Linked DNA regions of Tamandua tetradactyla. The protein of the gene in region 1 interacts with the protein of each later gene in a pairwise test. Links are inferred from orthologs where the notes say so. Each region holds a gene or a part of one and is shown on either strand. Other genes may lie near its edges.

Region 1 (7,996 bases):
ATACATCCATGCCATTCTGTCTGCTTGGAATATTCCCCAACTCACCTAACCCTTCCCCAAGAAGTATGTCCTAAGTCTAGCTTAGTGCATATCTGTACATACATGATCTCCAGAACCTCCAGAGATCACTGACTTATTTGTAACCATTAACAGAAAAGCCCACATGTGCCCACAGCCATGGCCCAAGCCCCAGACGGAGGCCTGTGTCTTGCCCAGACATTTGGGCAATCTGTTCTAGGCATTTCGTAATACCAAGCTTTGATAGAATGGAGTCATTTTCTGCCAGGCATACCAAAGTACCCCCACCAGGTGAAAGCAGGAGAGCATTGGCTTCTGGAACTTATCTCCCTCATCCCATTTTCCATTAGTTTAGAGAGAGGAAGTCAGAGTCCAGGAAGGACACAATTTAAATGACCATGAGGCTAGTGGGTGGATTTGCTTACTGCCTTTCCAAAACACTCAGGGCTAGCTGGAAGGCCAAAACAGATTCTCAAGCCAGACACTCAGGGCTAGCTGGAAGGCCAAAACAATTTGGATTTACAACCCACCTCTTTCTCCCTGCTACTCAGGAGTATCACCTTCTGGGCCAGGTGTGGTGGTCATGCAGCTAAATGTCCCTAATGGACCCCAAGCTCCCCAGAACCCATCCATGGTCCAGTGGAGTCACTGTAAATATTACAGCGTGGACCAGCGGGGCCAGAAGCCTGGAGACCTGTACAATCCTGACAGTAACCCTCAGGTGAGTCCTACAGCCCAGCCCTGTTTAGGCAAGGAGGTGGCTAAATTCTTCCTAAGAAACAGTCTTTACCATTGACTGAACAGCCTCTTTTACAAATCTTCCCCTGGGCACTTTTAGGGGAGAAAACACAAGAAATGGAAGAATACGTCCTCTTTCAGGGAACCTCAGATCTAAGGTAGCAGATAGGATACATACTTGAAAATGCCCAGAGAATACTTAAAATGGTGTGTCCAAATGTAGGCGTTAAAATAATATAAATTAATTATGTAGGGAATAAGGGGGCAATTTTAAGTAGCAGTCTGGTTTGTCAGAGTTCAGCAATAAAGACTTATTTCGTGAAGAGGGGGAATTTTAAGCCAAGCATAAGGAGTATTTGTTTTTGATGTTTATGTGATGGGTGCTACTCTCTTCCACAGGCCAACACACAAATGAGCAGCAGCCCCGTCACGTCCCCTACCCAATCCCCAGCACCCTCACCTGTCACCAGCCTCAGCAGTGTCTGCACAGGACTCAGTCCTCTACCTGTCCTCACACAGTTCCCTCGGCCTGGAGGTCCAGCACAGGGTAAGGGATGAGAGATCAGGGCTGACTGCTGTAAAATTCAGCCTTTTCTGGGAGCTAGTTCTTCCTTTGTATCAGGGAACCTCTAAAAACTGTAACGTCCCTGTTTAAGTCAAGAACACCCACCTCTTTCTAGTGCTGCCCATATTCCTTTATGTACTTAGTTGGAATCACCAAGTAGGTGACTGGTACTGTGGGCTAAGGGGAAGAAATTCATTGAACTTTCTAGTGAACCCAAGAGTTTAACCAGTCAGTACTGAGTCTGAAGGCTAGAAAAGTGGGGTTGTGTCAAACACAGTAGAATTTTAGAAGAGGGAACACAAGATTTGGGTTGAAAGACTTGGGTTCAAGTATTCGTTCCACCACTAACTCACTAGCTTTGTGATGCTGGATGTGTTACTTTAACTTGGAAAAAAACCTCAGTTTCCTGATCTATAAGATGGGGTTCATCACACATAAGATAGGAATCTTAACTGCTTTCTGACCTGGCTGTCACATGCAGTATAAAAACAAGATGAGACTATGGTTTAAAAAGTTAAAAATGCTCGTTTGTATTGGCTCTTACATGTGTCAGAAGATCGACCCCTGGCTTTTGAGGTGGGGAGAATCTGTATGAGATAAAAAACATTTGTAAGGGTCTTTAGTTTCCTCCCTGGTCATTTCATCAAGGCTTTTGTCTACCAAGTAAAGGTGAGGGGATGTAATAGCCCCATTTGTCTACAAGATACAGCTGAGAGCCAGGAAGATTAGGAAGAGAGACAACTCTAAAATCAGTCTCACGGGCACTCCTGTCACAGAAAATATAGGAATAGTATGTATTGTTGCTATCCATTTTCAAAGCCGACCCCATCCCATCCCCAAAGTCTCCTAAAAGTCATACCACAAAGCTCAAGCTCCCAGAAAACCATCTGCTCTTACTGCCTAGGTGATGGGCGGTACTCCCTCTTGGGCCAGCCATTACAGTACAATCTGTCCATCTGCCCTCCCTTGCTCCATGGCCAGTCGACTTATACAGTGCACCAGGTAAGGGTGTCTACCATCCCCTCCTACGTAGCCTTCAGGCCATCAGATTACCCCCTACACACACACACACACTCACTCACTCACTCACTCACTCACTCACTCTCTCTCTCTCTCTCTCATACACTCTCATCTACTCTCATCTGGTCCCCTATCTCTGAGCCATCCACCTTTTCCAGTTCAGAAGACAATGGAAACAACACAGGGAAAATGGAATAAGTGGGAGGGGCTGAAGGCCTTACCCCACTCCTGTACTCATTTCTTCCACCCACCCCAATGCCAAGAGGGAGGGGCTCTCTGCTTCTCAGTGACCATGCCTGGGCATCTGATTGCCTGGAAAGGTGTGATCCTCAGGACTGGGTGCTATTACTCAATCTCTCAGGCAGGAGTTGCAATAGAAGGCAGTTAGTGTTGTTAATCCAAAATGAGAATAGTCTTTTGATTGTTGAAGGGACAGAGTGGATTGAAGCATGGAAGCCGGGGCAAGAGACAAGCACTCAAATCTGCTTCCACTGACCTGGGGACAGCAGATGTTGGTGAGTGATAAAATCCTAAATCCCTGTAAGAAGGTGCCTACCACAAGCCTGCGTTACCAGCCAAGGATGGGAGGGAAAAGCCAGCTTAGGGTGGAAAATGAAAGTGGGAACCATTTGTGCTCAAGAGCAGGGAGAAGAGGGAAAAGTGGAATGTCTCAGTCTTCCCTACCAAACCATCCCAGATTCTTGGGAAGATAGTGGTAAAAATTGGAAATAACACAGTAATGGAGTCACTGAGTCTGTTAGCTGAGAGTCTTCTGGGAGCAGGCCTCACCTGAATATAAGACCTCTACCTTTGGTAGTATTTAGGAGGAGTCTCAGAGATTGTGGGGGAGTAATCCTCCTCCTGCAGGCATTCCACACTAGCCATACAAGATCTCTCAGGATTTCCCCCAGTTGGAACAGTTTGATAAACAAGGAAAGAAAAAAGGAAATTAACTTCCCTAGATGATAAGAAAGAAGATTTTATTTGGGCCAGCCTCTGAGTAGGAAGGGAACTGTGGACATACTTGAGATTGATTCATTGATTTTGTTAAAGCACATCAGCAAAACCCACCCTTCCTTTATAGCAATGGTACCCTGTGAGAGAACTGATTTATAGGTCCCCAGACCATCAACCTGGGATTCTGATTCCCAGACCTTCCTTTTTGCCTACATTTCTAGGCTATGCCAAGAGAAAGGTTCATCTTTTTCTCCTAGTTGCCCTAATCAGAGTCTGGATGGTGGGGAATTGGGTTGATTTGGAGAGGGGAGAAGATAGCAAAGAGGGAATGGCTAGGTTTTTGAGGACCTTGTATACAGACTTGTCAGTTGGATACTTCTCTCCCTTGCCACTGACCAGTTCTCCACCCCCCTGCCACTCCCCATCTTCGGCTCTTACCACTATATTCTCTCTCCTCCCCTTCCAGTCCTGGGGCGGGTGCTGGAGGTGACAGATCTCCCTGAGGGCATCACCCGCACCGAGGCTGACAAACTCTTCACTCAGCTCGCCCTGTCTGGCGCCAAGATCCAGTGGCTCAAGGATGCTCAGGGGCTGCCTGGCGGGGGCGGAGGGGACAACGGTGGGACTGCTGAGAACGGCCGCCATGCGGACCTCGCTGCCTTGTACACCATAGTGGCTGTGTTCCCCAGCCCCCTGGCTGCCCAGAATGCCTCCCTTCGCCTCAACAACTCCGTGAGTCGCTTCAAACTTCGAGTGGCCAAAAAGAACTATGACCTGAGGATCCTGGAGCGAGCCAGCTCCCAATAAGTGAAGGAGGGAAAAGGACTGGCACAGTAGGGGTGGGGACGAGGTGAAAGAGGGTCGAGGGATCCAGATAGACCACTGACAGGTAGAAAACAGGGAGACAGACGCTGAACTGGAACCTAAGACAGTAAGAATAAACGTGGAAGCAAACACTCACACTGGCACTGGACTCCTCACTCCCCTGCCGTCATCCCTTTTCTGTCCCACTTGGCTCCTCTCTGCTTCCCTCTCCTTCCCATCCTCTTCTATCATTTTTTATCTCTCTTCCCACCACAAAATTAATTTTTTTCATATTCTTTGGCCAGGTAGAATTGGGAAGGTCCACAATCCCGTATTCTATTTCCTTACTATCCTAAGCTCCCTTTTATTTTTTGGTCGTTACGAATATATTTATATGGGCAGAATTAAGAAAAACAATATTGATTTCTCCTTCCTCTCACTTCCCTCATCTTGTCTCCCAAACCCCACAGAGTTAAAACTTGGGCCCCCCTCACCCCCCAGAACACTTGTATATTGTTTGAAGTTTGTGCCGCAGTAACAGACACAGTATTTAATTGCACATACAGATGTTTGCTGGGTATATTCACTGTAAATTTTATTTAATCTGGTTTTTTGTTTGTGGGGGGGTTACTTGGGGGGAGGTTGATTTTGTTTTTAAATATAAAAAAAAATCTTCTGTCACTGGACATCAGTCCTCGTTTCTGTGTTGCCGCCCTGGTGTGGGTGGGGGTTGGGAGGGTTTGTTGTGGGTTGGGATGGATTTCCCCTAGCATATGCACATTTATCTTCCTAGCACCATTCCCTCTCTCCGATCCTCCTTCCTGCCCATAATTCTGATGGGTGGTTCTGGGTTTTTCCAATTCTGCCACTAACTGTGGTTCATCAAGCACATCACCTTCTCAACTCTGGATCTCTGTGTCCTTATTAATAAAATAAGAGACTTGGACTGACTAGGTGACCTCCAAGGTTCTTGTCAGCCTGTTAATTCCGTGGTATTCATTTAGGGCCCTTGTGGCTGAGCTAGGGAGGAATAAGGTCTAGAAATGGGTTGAAATGCTGATCTCAAAGCCCATCATCTAGTCTTCTGAAAACCTTCAAGCGATGGGCCTTTCTTTAATCCTAAAACTAGAGGATTGAGCTCTACTTGGCAAGAATGGAAGTGGGTGTTTTACAATAAAAGCTATATTATCTGAACTTACTGTGCCAAGATGCTAGATTTATGCAGGCATACTCAGCTGTCCCTGTCCTTTGCAGATGAAGAAAGTTCAAGAAAAGCAGAGGTCACCTGCCTGCAAGATGGACGTTTTCTATATCTGAGGCATCTCAAAGTTAGCCCTGTTTTTCTGCAGCCTGTTAAACAGGGCCCATTAAGGAGCCTGTAGAGTCAAACCAATAGAACCCTGCCATCCAGTGGCCCCCTTTCAATCTCACCCCACCCCCTTAGGAAAAAGAGCAGTGGGTAGAAACGGCAGAGCATATTGCCCTGGAAAATGTTGGATCTGGGTGACTGTATCTCTAGCCAAGCTCTGAAGCTTGTCTGACCCTACCTCCAACCTAATCCTTTATTTCTTAACAGACACAAGGGATAGTGCAGCACTACATTACCATGTCTAAATTGCTCTCCTCTGAGATGGGGGTTATCTTTTTCCAGCCATGTCACAACCCAAAGAATAGCAGAAAGCTGCATCCCTGTGAGAAAAGAATGCAAGCTATCGTACTGATCCATCAGTTCATATACTTGGGCATCACAGGAAGGAGGTGCATCAAGGAATGAAAATTATTTAGGAAGTGTGAAGTTCAACCATCCTACCTGCAAGAATTTGCAGTTCTCCTGAGGAAAGGAACATTATTTACAGATGATAAAAATTCCCTATGCAGCAGCTGTAAGCTTCTGGCCAGTGTTAACTGAACTATCTCTACCTGGTCATTAGGCCCTCACTCCCGCAAAATCTCTCAGATGGAAGTCTTAAGCCCTTACAATTCACTATCCTGAGGACAAGATTTGGAGATGTGTGGAAAGATCAAGGGAACAAGCAGTAATACAGATTCCTCACTCCTTTACAGGACAGAAGCAAGGCCACCCCTCTTAAACCCACAGTTAATAAAACATTCTAGTCTGGTTGATAGGAGAGCGCTTTCCTATCTTCACCAGTCCCCAGTCCTTTCCATCCTCAAGTTTAAGGTTAGATTGATGCTTGAGGTTATACAAACACATAAGTCACAAGAAGATAAAGGCTGAGAGGCTGAAGTCTGTAGTCCTTAAAGTAGGTACAGAGAGGGCAGAATTGGGGAAGTTTTTGAACCTTGGAGGTAAGGGATGGAGAAATGTTTTATAATTTATCTTTACTTCACCTTTAGTCCTCCAAAATCCATTCAAATGGGTGTACAGCCTGAACCAAAACCATTCCTTACTGAATTTACTACTGGCCTGCCCACCATAGATGAAGAATCAGGAAACGGGAGCTTTGGGGGACGGGAGGGCTAGGGTACAGCCCTGCCCCAGTCCTCCCCGTGTCCAATTTCTCTGTGTCAGCTGTGTTGCTCAGCTGTCCACTTTCCTCCAGCCCTGTCATTTCAACTCTGACACCAAAGGGAGAGGCTAGGAGGTCTACATATACCAACTGGTAGCCGGTGTGAGTACAGAGGGTACTGGGGGGGCTCAGCCCCCAGGGAAGAGGACCGATCCTCCCCCCAGCACCACCACCAAGGCCCCAGGGGCTCCTACTTCCCTCCTCAGGCTGACTTAGGGAATCCCAAACGTAAGTTGCCTCTTCATCCTCTTTCCATTTCTAGGACTGCTCACCCCAGCTGTCCCAATCCTTAGTCTATTCATCTTCTTCATTTCTACTTATCTCCAAGTATTTTAGGAGTGAAGTTATTACCTTACTCCAGGAAGAGAGCTAGGATTGGGGGAGGCGGTGGCAGGTTGGGGAGTGGGGGTTGGGCCAAGGGGATGGAGCAATAGGGAGGGAAAGGCTCATATTACTTTGAAAACTTAAAATAGCTAAGGCCTGTGGCAGGCTGAGATCAACTAGGCGAGAGGCCCCCAGGGCTTAAAGGAGGAGGTAGGAGGGAACAAATGTCTCCAGCCCATTCCTCCATGCATGCATGTGGATGCAGGCATGAAACCTCTTGAAGAGAAGGGGCCCAGGAAGGCATGTCAAATCTCTCTTGCCCACAACCTCCCAAAAGAAAGTGCCTGTAGGAAAATTCCCAAACCATGTAGCTTTGAGCACTGTGTTGAGGCTATAAACTCTGGGGCTGCCCCTCAGGGTAGAAGGTTGGATATCGGTTTAAGGAACAGGTTGGAAAATTCTTTCGTCTGTCTGGATCTCCATGGAGTCTTTCTGTTCATAAGCCCTAGGAAAGAATCTCTAAGCAGATTTCTTCTGAGGCCTCTTCTTCAAGGACAACCCTACTGCTAAGGACAGGAATAAGGAAGGAAAGAATGGCAGTTAGGGATTAGAGTTCATAGTGGGGTCCAACCTCTTGCAGGATGACAGAAAAGGAGGTGCTGGAGCCCCCTAATCCCTCCTTCCCAGCAGAGACTCGTCAAAGTGGGGTGAGTCTGGGCATCTGACCATTGGGTGTGGGAAGGTGGGAAACCATTACAGCCCTTTAAAAAAAGTGCCTGAATTGTTCTTATTTTTATGTGACTCATTTAGAATGCCAGCCAGCACCTACAGCCCCAGTATCCCTTAATCTTGGGGTGTAACCCAGGTCTCCAGCATGGCAGGCGAGAACTCTGCCGCTGAGCCGCCATGGCCTGCCCGATGACAATCCTTTAACATTGGATTTCCTTCACTCCTTCCCTCCCTCAGCTACAGCGGCTGAAGCAGTTGTTCAGGAAGGGGTCTACAGGGACAAAGGACATGGAGCTTCCTCCAGAGCCCC
Region 2 (7,098 bases), on another chromosome or scaffold:
AACTAAGGTCCAAAGGGATATGATGTAACCTGTCCAAGGCAACAAGTAAAGAAATAGCAGTCTGAACTGCCAACAAATGATTTTTTTCTTAGCACAAAGCTTTCCGGGTCTTCCTATTCAGAACCTTTTCATTCTATCACTAGTTACCCAAGCCCTGTATTCCAGGACAGGGCTGTGACATGCAATGATACATGTTCATTAAGAGTATTTTGTCTAACCCTTCAGGCTTTGGGATCAGAGCACTGTCTTGGGCAGGGCTTCACAAAGATCTTTGTCTACAAGGGTTTTCAATCCAGCTTTTAATGGTTTCCTTATTCCAAAGCCAGAGGAATGCTTCGAACCTCTGGCTCCTGCCTGAGACTCGCAGACTGCACTTGAACCCCTGCTAGACATGTGAAAGATGAAAGCCTCACTGCTGACTGCCATGACTCCTGGCTTAGATACCATGCACCCCTGAACTGCTGCTGCTGTATATCAGCATGGCACCAAGGGCTCTTCTCTACAAAGGTGCTTGGGTAAAGTTGTGCATGTCTAAAACAGTGGCTAGGTTTTAGGAATGACATCTAAATTGGGGGTGGAGGAGGAGCTCTGGGGAAAATGGCAAAGAATCACTTTTAATCAAGCACTTGGGAAGCAAGAATTCTAATCTATTCCCCAAATTCCTGTATTCCTTGTGTTGACACTTAAATAATCTAAAGTATTTTAAGCAGTAGGAAACTTAAATTACAATAACATAATTCATTGTGAGCCTACAAAAAAACCAACAATAGAATAAACTTACAGGGATATGTGGCAGCGTAATTGTGACTTCATCTCCTTTGCCAACTTGGAGCTCTCCTTCACAGGAAGTGTCTATAGATGCTGGCTTAAAATCATCTAAAGGGAAAGGAAAAAGCATTTATCCATCAGCTAACAAGGGCTTCCAGAGCATCTTATTTAAGAATTAAAATGTTTTATTATTCAGATAAATGGCAAATACAAATACTTTAGAACATATTTAGGATTATTTCATTATGGAAAACTTCACATAATTTAAAAATAAAGAGAAGAGTACAATGAACTCCATGTACCAGCTTCAATAATTATCAACAAGGGACAATCATTTTTCACCTATGCCTTTACATACTTTTCCTCCTATTCCCACTGGACTATTTTGAAAAAAACTAGAATTTAAATGCCACTTTATTAAGCAAAGAAATTCCCTTCACCTAAGTAACAGATGGAAATTAATGCTGCAGTATCCACAGTAAGATGTTTTATTAGGGTTGTTATGAGGATCAAAGGCAATAGAGCAAAAAGACTCTGCCTGCAAAGCCCAACAGAAAACATGAATGGCCACAGCATCATACAAGCAGACTTCATCTTGCAGAGGAATTGTCAAAATTAGGACTTGCCATACTTAAATTCCATAGCTTTGACAAACATACTCCCACAGATGTTCAGAGCAGATGGCTGAACTGTATCTCCAAAGGTTACCCTGCCCATATTTCTGGAATGCAAAGTATAACATGAATAGCCATCTTGCACCTTGTTAGTATATCCTGCCCCAAACGTGGCCAGGTGCATAAGGAAATCGTCTCATTTAAATTTCACATTGTCCTTCTCACTCCACAGAAACATCAACCAAGTAGTGTTCAGGAACTGATGTCCTTGTCACATTCTTGATATCTCTCCTCGGAAAGAGCTATATCTGCTCTCAGAAAGCACAGTAATGGCATAGCAAGTGACCATACAAAGACGGAACTTCATTATCTAACCCGCCCTCTTCCTACATGTTGAGTCACATCTATTAGTTCCTCTGACAAAAACAAGACTTAACAAGTGTTAGCACTACCAGGATGGGCAGCCAGGAGCTTGTGAATCACAGCAGGACGCTCTGTCAGCCAATTTCTAACAGCTAATTCTCTACCCAAGGATATAGAGTGGAAATGCCTCTCCCTCAACAGAGTCTATAATCATGTAGGGAAAAAAGGCCCAGCATAATGACTACTTTGACATTTCTTACGCCTATGCTCTCTTTTGCTTTCCCACCACCAAGCTTTAACCTATCCCAGGTTCACAAACTCTAATTTTATTCTTCATCCACACGGCGGGGGGGGAGGTCTAGAGGAACAGTAAGGGTAGCAGAGGTGACCTCAAAAGACAGCAAAGTCAAACGAGGTGCGAAAAGCTGGAGGAGGACGCTGATGGCGGACAGGAGTATCCTCTGGCTGGTGAAGTGAGGATGAGCAGTGCCAGGATCGCTAGAACCAAGACAAACCAGGAAAGAAAGCTGGGGGGGGGGGGGGGAAGGGGGACGAGAACGGCGTGCGAGGAAGCGGATGAGGCTTATAAACAAATGTGAAGAGTCCTTCAAACGTGGAGAACCCTGGTGGAAGCATCAGGAAGTGGGAGGCGGGATGGAATTAGAGAAGAACTGGGGTCTGATGTAGGGGGTCACAGCCTTTCGGGAATAAAAAGGCGGGGGGGAGTCTGGGCTAAAGAATTAGGGTGGTGGGATGCAAAGAAAGAGGGACCAATGACCTTCGAAAAATAGGTTCTATCAAGAGAAAAATTGTTGGGAGTGACAAAAGCTTCGGTTTGGGAGGAGTGACCTGAGAAAAGGAAAGAAGACGATATCTCGGAGGATTCAGAGTAAGAGTGATCGGGAGCTGCCGATGGGAGTCGGCAGGGGCTTCCCTAAGGTTCGGGAAGCCAAGCGAAGCCAGAGGGGGTGCTGAGGCTAGTTAGGTAACCCTGGGAAACACTGACTTACAGCGAATGGTGTGGAACGAGGCCCGCGGTCGCTTTTCGAAGCTCTCCCCGAGCCGTAGGCAGTGCTCCTCGCGGTCCAGCAGCGGGTTCGCGGTCCCGTTCATGGCCCCGTACGGGCGGTGCGCCCGGCTCGGCGCTCTCCAGGCGCGGGAGCTGGGAAAGCTGCGCGAGCTTCCGGCGCCGGGGTCCGGGAGAGCGGTGCTCACTGAACACCGCTCCGGGGCGCACCGACAGCCGAGCCGGACCCCACCGGTGACTGGAACGAAGTTTCCGCCTCTGCGTCGGGGTAGGGGGAGACTCGGACGAAGCGAGACTGAGGGATTTCCGGTGTCGGGGAGGGACTTAAGGGTTCGCGGCGGATGTAGCGGGCGAGGTTTCATGGCGAAATAACTCCGGCCTTAGAATCCCAAATCGAGGTCCGCAAGTCTGTCTTGACCCAGCTCGGGTTTTCCTGTGGCGGCTCCTAAAGTTCGCCTCCGAGCGCTGGTGCTGGCTGAGGGGTGAGTGTGTCAGGCCCTGGGTCAACAGATGAACCTAGAAATGCTGAGGGTGGGCCTAGAGCGCACGACTAAATTAGTCCGGGTCGGATAGCTAACATGGCCAGCTCTCTGCAGCCCTAGATGTCCGCAAGTGGGCTCAGTTCATTCAGAATGTCCTGGGAGACCTGTGTACTCAGGACCCTCTGCTACGCATAACTGGGTATCTTCTTCCCCTTCGTGCCGTGAAGGGGTGTGGGAGCTTCAGTTTCTGAAAAACGACGCCCCCTCTGGTTCGTACGACAGTCTCGTGTGAGTGGGATCTGAGACTTAGAGACTCGGACCACCCGGGCTTATCTCGATGTCACCGAGCAAAACGGAGTCTTGATCCTGCAGACCTTGGGAAACGATGATCCTACTTCTATCTGGCAACCCACCACCGCCTCCTGTTCAGCTTTCGTTGTTGTTAAGTTATTCCCTTCACAGGCCCTGAAAATTGATGAGCATTTTCCCCCAAGGTTTTGTATTCAGATCTTGAGAGTGTCCTTTTTCACAACTATATAAATTTATTGTAAAAATTGACTCATTTTGTCTTGAATTAGAGTTCGGTGCATAAGCCAGGCCTGGCCACTGGATGGTAAGCCGTTTGAGGGCAAGAAGTATATCTTGGTCTTCTTTGTGACCTTTCGTAGCAGAGTTTTCTGTAGAATGAGCATCTAGTAAATGTTTGATGAATTGGTTGCAGCATCTTAAAGAACTGTTCTAGAATCATTAGCTAGACTCGCATTCTTTTTTCTTTAGAAGTCCCTGGTGCTTCCTGAGGCGCAGGCGAACCTGGCATAGGGAAACTCATCTGAGAAAATCCTGCCTCTGCAATATTATGGATTCTTCCGGTTAAACAGGGGTGGAGAATTTTCAGCAGTGTGAAGCACATTGTGGTCAACTTAATGAGATGGCTTCTTTGCAAAGAAAAGGGCTACAGGCAAGGATTCTCAGCTCTGAAGAAGAGGAGAAATTGAAAAGAGATCAAGCTTTGGTGTCTGATTTTAAACAGCAAAAGCTGGAAAAAGAGGCTCAGAAGAACTGGGATCTTTTTTACAAAAGAAATAGTACCAATTTCTTCAAAGATAGACACTGGACTTCCAGAGAGTTTAAGGAGCTAAGATCATGTAGGGAGGTAAGCTAATTTTGCACCTTATATGGGCCATTCTACATTTAAAATTTGTAGAGAGGAGTGCTTTATTGCATTCCCTGAGGATTGGGGAGTAGAGAGTTTATGAAGCCTATTAAAATGCTTTGTACCTTGGGAGAGAAATAGAGTGTTTAATCTCACAAGGGGTTTCATTAGTTTTCGGGATGTGTAATGCATAGAGGAGGTAAGTGCAGTAGCCGTTTTCTATTTAAAGTTAATCTGCAAGTTGTAAACATTAAATTTATACTGACTGACTTCAGTGACAGAGTAACAATATTAATAGTCATTGTTAAGGAACACTCATCATAGCCCTTTTCTAAGAATTTTACAGATTTTCTAATTTATGCCTTATGATAACTCCATGAAATAGTGTTATGTTTATTATCCCCACTTGCAGATGAAATTGAGGCACAAAGCTGTTTGATTTGCCCAAGGGATAGGACATGAGGATGAGTAGAGGAGTTGGGATTTGAATGCAGGCAGGTTATTTAGTTCCAGAACTTGTTCTTTCAGCCATTAAGCACTTTTTTTTCCTCCACAACAAAATACCCAGTACTTGAATAGTTGAACAACAAATGAGGTACCTTTATTAGCTTTTGGGCATTTGTTCACTTGCCCACGTCATGGGGACAGAGACCTTGTCTCTTATGTTCTGAACCTTCTCATTTTTCTTCCTTGTGCGAATGTAATGTGCTGTATCTTTGAGTTCTCTTTCCCTAGTTCAACGATCAAAAATTGACTATGCTTGAAGCTGGCTGTGGAGTTGGGAACTGTTTATTCCCACTTTTAGAAGAAGATCTGAATATCTTTGCTTATGCCTGTGATTTTTCTCCAAGAGCAGTTGAATATGTTAAGGTTGGTGCACCATCCTTGTATTGTTATGTTTGTTTTCTTAGGCTTGTGTGATCAGCTCTCTGTATTCATTTGCCTAATTCCAGTCCACTCCCCAGACCTAACCAGCTATTATCACTATTAACTATAGTTTTCATTAGAAACACAACTTTATTTAGAAAAATAGAAAAAAAGACACTGTATACTTTTTCTCAGATTTAATGATTATAAGCAGTTTGCCACATTTACTTCGTCTGTAGATTTTTTCCTTTGCTGAACCACTTTAAAGCAAATTACAGATGTCAAAACACTTCACTCCTAAATATGTCAGTGTACATCTCCAGAGAAAAAGGAATTTTTTTGACACGACCACAGTGTGCTTTTCATATCAGTTTGCCAGGCTACTGTGACAAATACCATACAGTGGGTTGGCTTAACAGCAGGAATTTATTGATTCACAGTTTCAGGGGTTAAAAATCCATAATTAAGGCATGAACAATGAAATGCTTTCTCCTGTAGCGTTCTGGTGCTTTCTTGCTGCAGTCCTTGGGGTTCCTTGGTTTTCCTCCTGTTACATAGCGATCTCTCATTCCTTGTATCTGTTCCATATTTTAATTTGTTTTTCTCTAATTACCAGTGAGGTTGAAGACCTTGATAATGTAGATAAGCATTAGTTTTTCTTCTGATGTGAATTCCTTTATTCAGTATATATTTACTGAAAGCCTGATATGTGCCAATTACTGGGGTTAATTAGAGAACAAACCAGATGAAACATCACCCCCTGTGCTGATATGAGGCTTGTATTATAGTAGAAATCTGTTCATAACCTTTGCCAGTTTTTCTACTGTGTTGTCATTTTCTTCCTTGTTTTTAGGATATATTCTGGATATTATTGTTTCTGTTATTTACATGCAAACATTTTCTTCCAATTTATCCATTGTTTTTCAGCATTGTTTATGGTATCTTTTTTCTTACACAGACTTTGTACTGTCACGTTTCTTCTTTTTTTTTTTTTGAGGTGCTAAGGTTTTTCACCTTGTTTAAGAGTTCTTTATTCCCCAAATTTAAATATAAACACCTATATATTTTTGTAATTTTGGTTATTATGTTTTATAATTAATCTTGAAAATTTTCGACCATTATTTTTCTTCAGCTCCCATTCTCTGTTTCTCTTCCTTCTGGGATTTCAGTTACATATGTGTTATACCATCTAATATTGCCCCACAAGCCTTGGATGCTCCATTCTGTTTGTTTCACTTTTTTCTCTTTGTATTTTCAGTTTGTATAATTTCTGTTATCCTCTGTCTGTCCTGTGTAGTCGGGTCCACTGATGAGCCTTTTGAAGGCATTCTTCATTTCTGTTACTCTTTCTAGAATTTTCATTTACTCCTTCTCCTAGCTTCCATCTCTTATCTTTCTGATAGCTTTTATCTATTTGATCATGCATGCTGACTACCTTTTCTATTAAAGTTTAACTTTAATCATAGTTATTTTAAATGCCCAGTCTAATAGTTCCACTATCTCTGTCATATCTGAGTCTGGTTCTGATGATTGCTTTGTATCTTCAGTCTGTGTTTTTTTCTTGCCTTTTGGCATGCCTTCTACTTCTCTGTTCAAAGCCAGACATGGGTGATAGACACTGAAGTAATAAGGATTTGTTATATTCTCATCTGGAGTTGGGCTGTATTTGAAGCTCGTTGTTGTTATAGTTACCAGTGTTGGGATTTATTTTTTACTGTGGGCAGTAGAGACTTTGGATTCGTCTAGTGACTTTGTTTTTGTCTCCCCTCTTGGCTTTGGGTCTGCCTTTTGTGCCATTCCCCAGAGAGTGTCAGTTTCTTGCAG

The links.
Region 2: the proteins of STAC3 (region 1) and EAF1 interact in binary tests that used the Homo sapiens proteins (3 or more experiments, as listed by UniProt). The two-hybrid records come from large-scale screens. The link is inferred for Tamandua tetradactyla from reciprocal best matches to the Homo sapiens genes STAC3 and EAF1.

Annotation. Positions count from the first base shown.
Region 1 is NC_135333.1:124,433,969-124,441,964, reverse strand, and holds the start of STAC3 (SH3 and cysteine-rich domain-containing protein 3), read left to right. Parts: upstream 1-4,894; 5' UTR 4,895-6,861; intron 6,862-7,597; 5' UTR 7,598-7,598; coding exon 7,599-7,664; intron 7,665-7,923; coding exon 7,924-7,996. Other genes in the region: R3HDM2 (R3H domain-containing protein 2), read left to right, coding at 570-739, 1,156-1,303, 2,226-2,323, 2,772-2,856, 3,765-4,105. UniProt on the Homo sapiens protein: Required for normal excitation-contraction coupling in skeletal muscle and for normal muscle contraction in response to membrane depolarization. Required for normal Ca(2+) release from the sarcplasmic reticulum, which ultimately leads to muscle contraction.
Region 2 is NC_135341.1:73,240,703-73,247,800, forward strand, and holds the start of EAF1 (ELL-associated factor 1), read right to left. Parts: upstream 3,011-7,098; 5' UTR 2,859-3,010; coding exon 2,756-2,858; intron 877-2,755; coding exon 782-876; intron 1-781. Other genes in the region: tRNA N(3)-cytidine methyltransferase METTL6, read left to right, coding at 4,183-4,407, 5,143-5,277. UniProt on the Homo sapiens protein: Acts as a transcriptional transactivator of ELL and ELL2 elongation activities.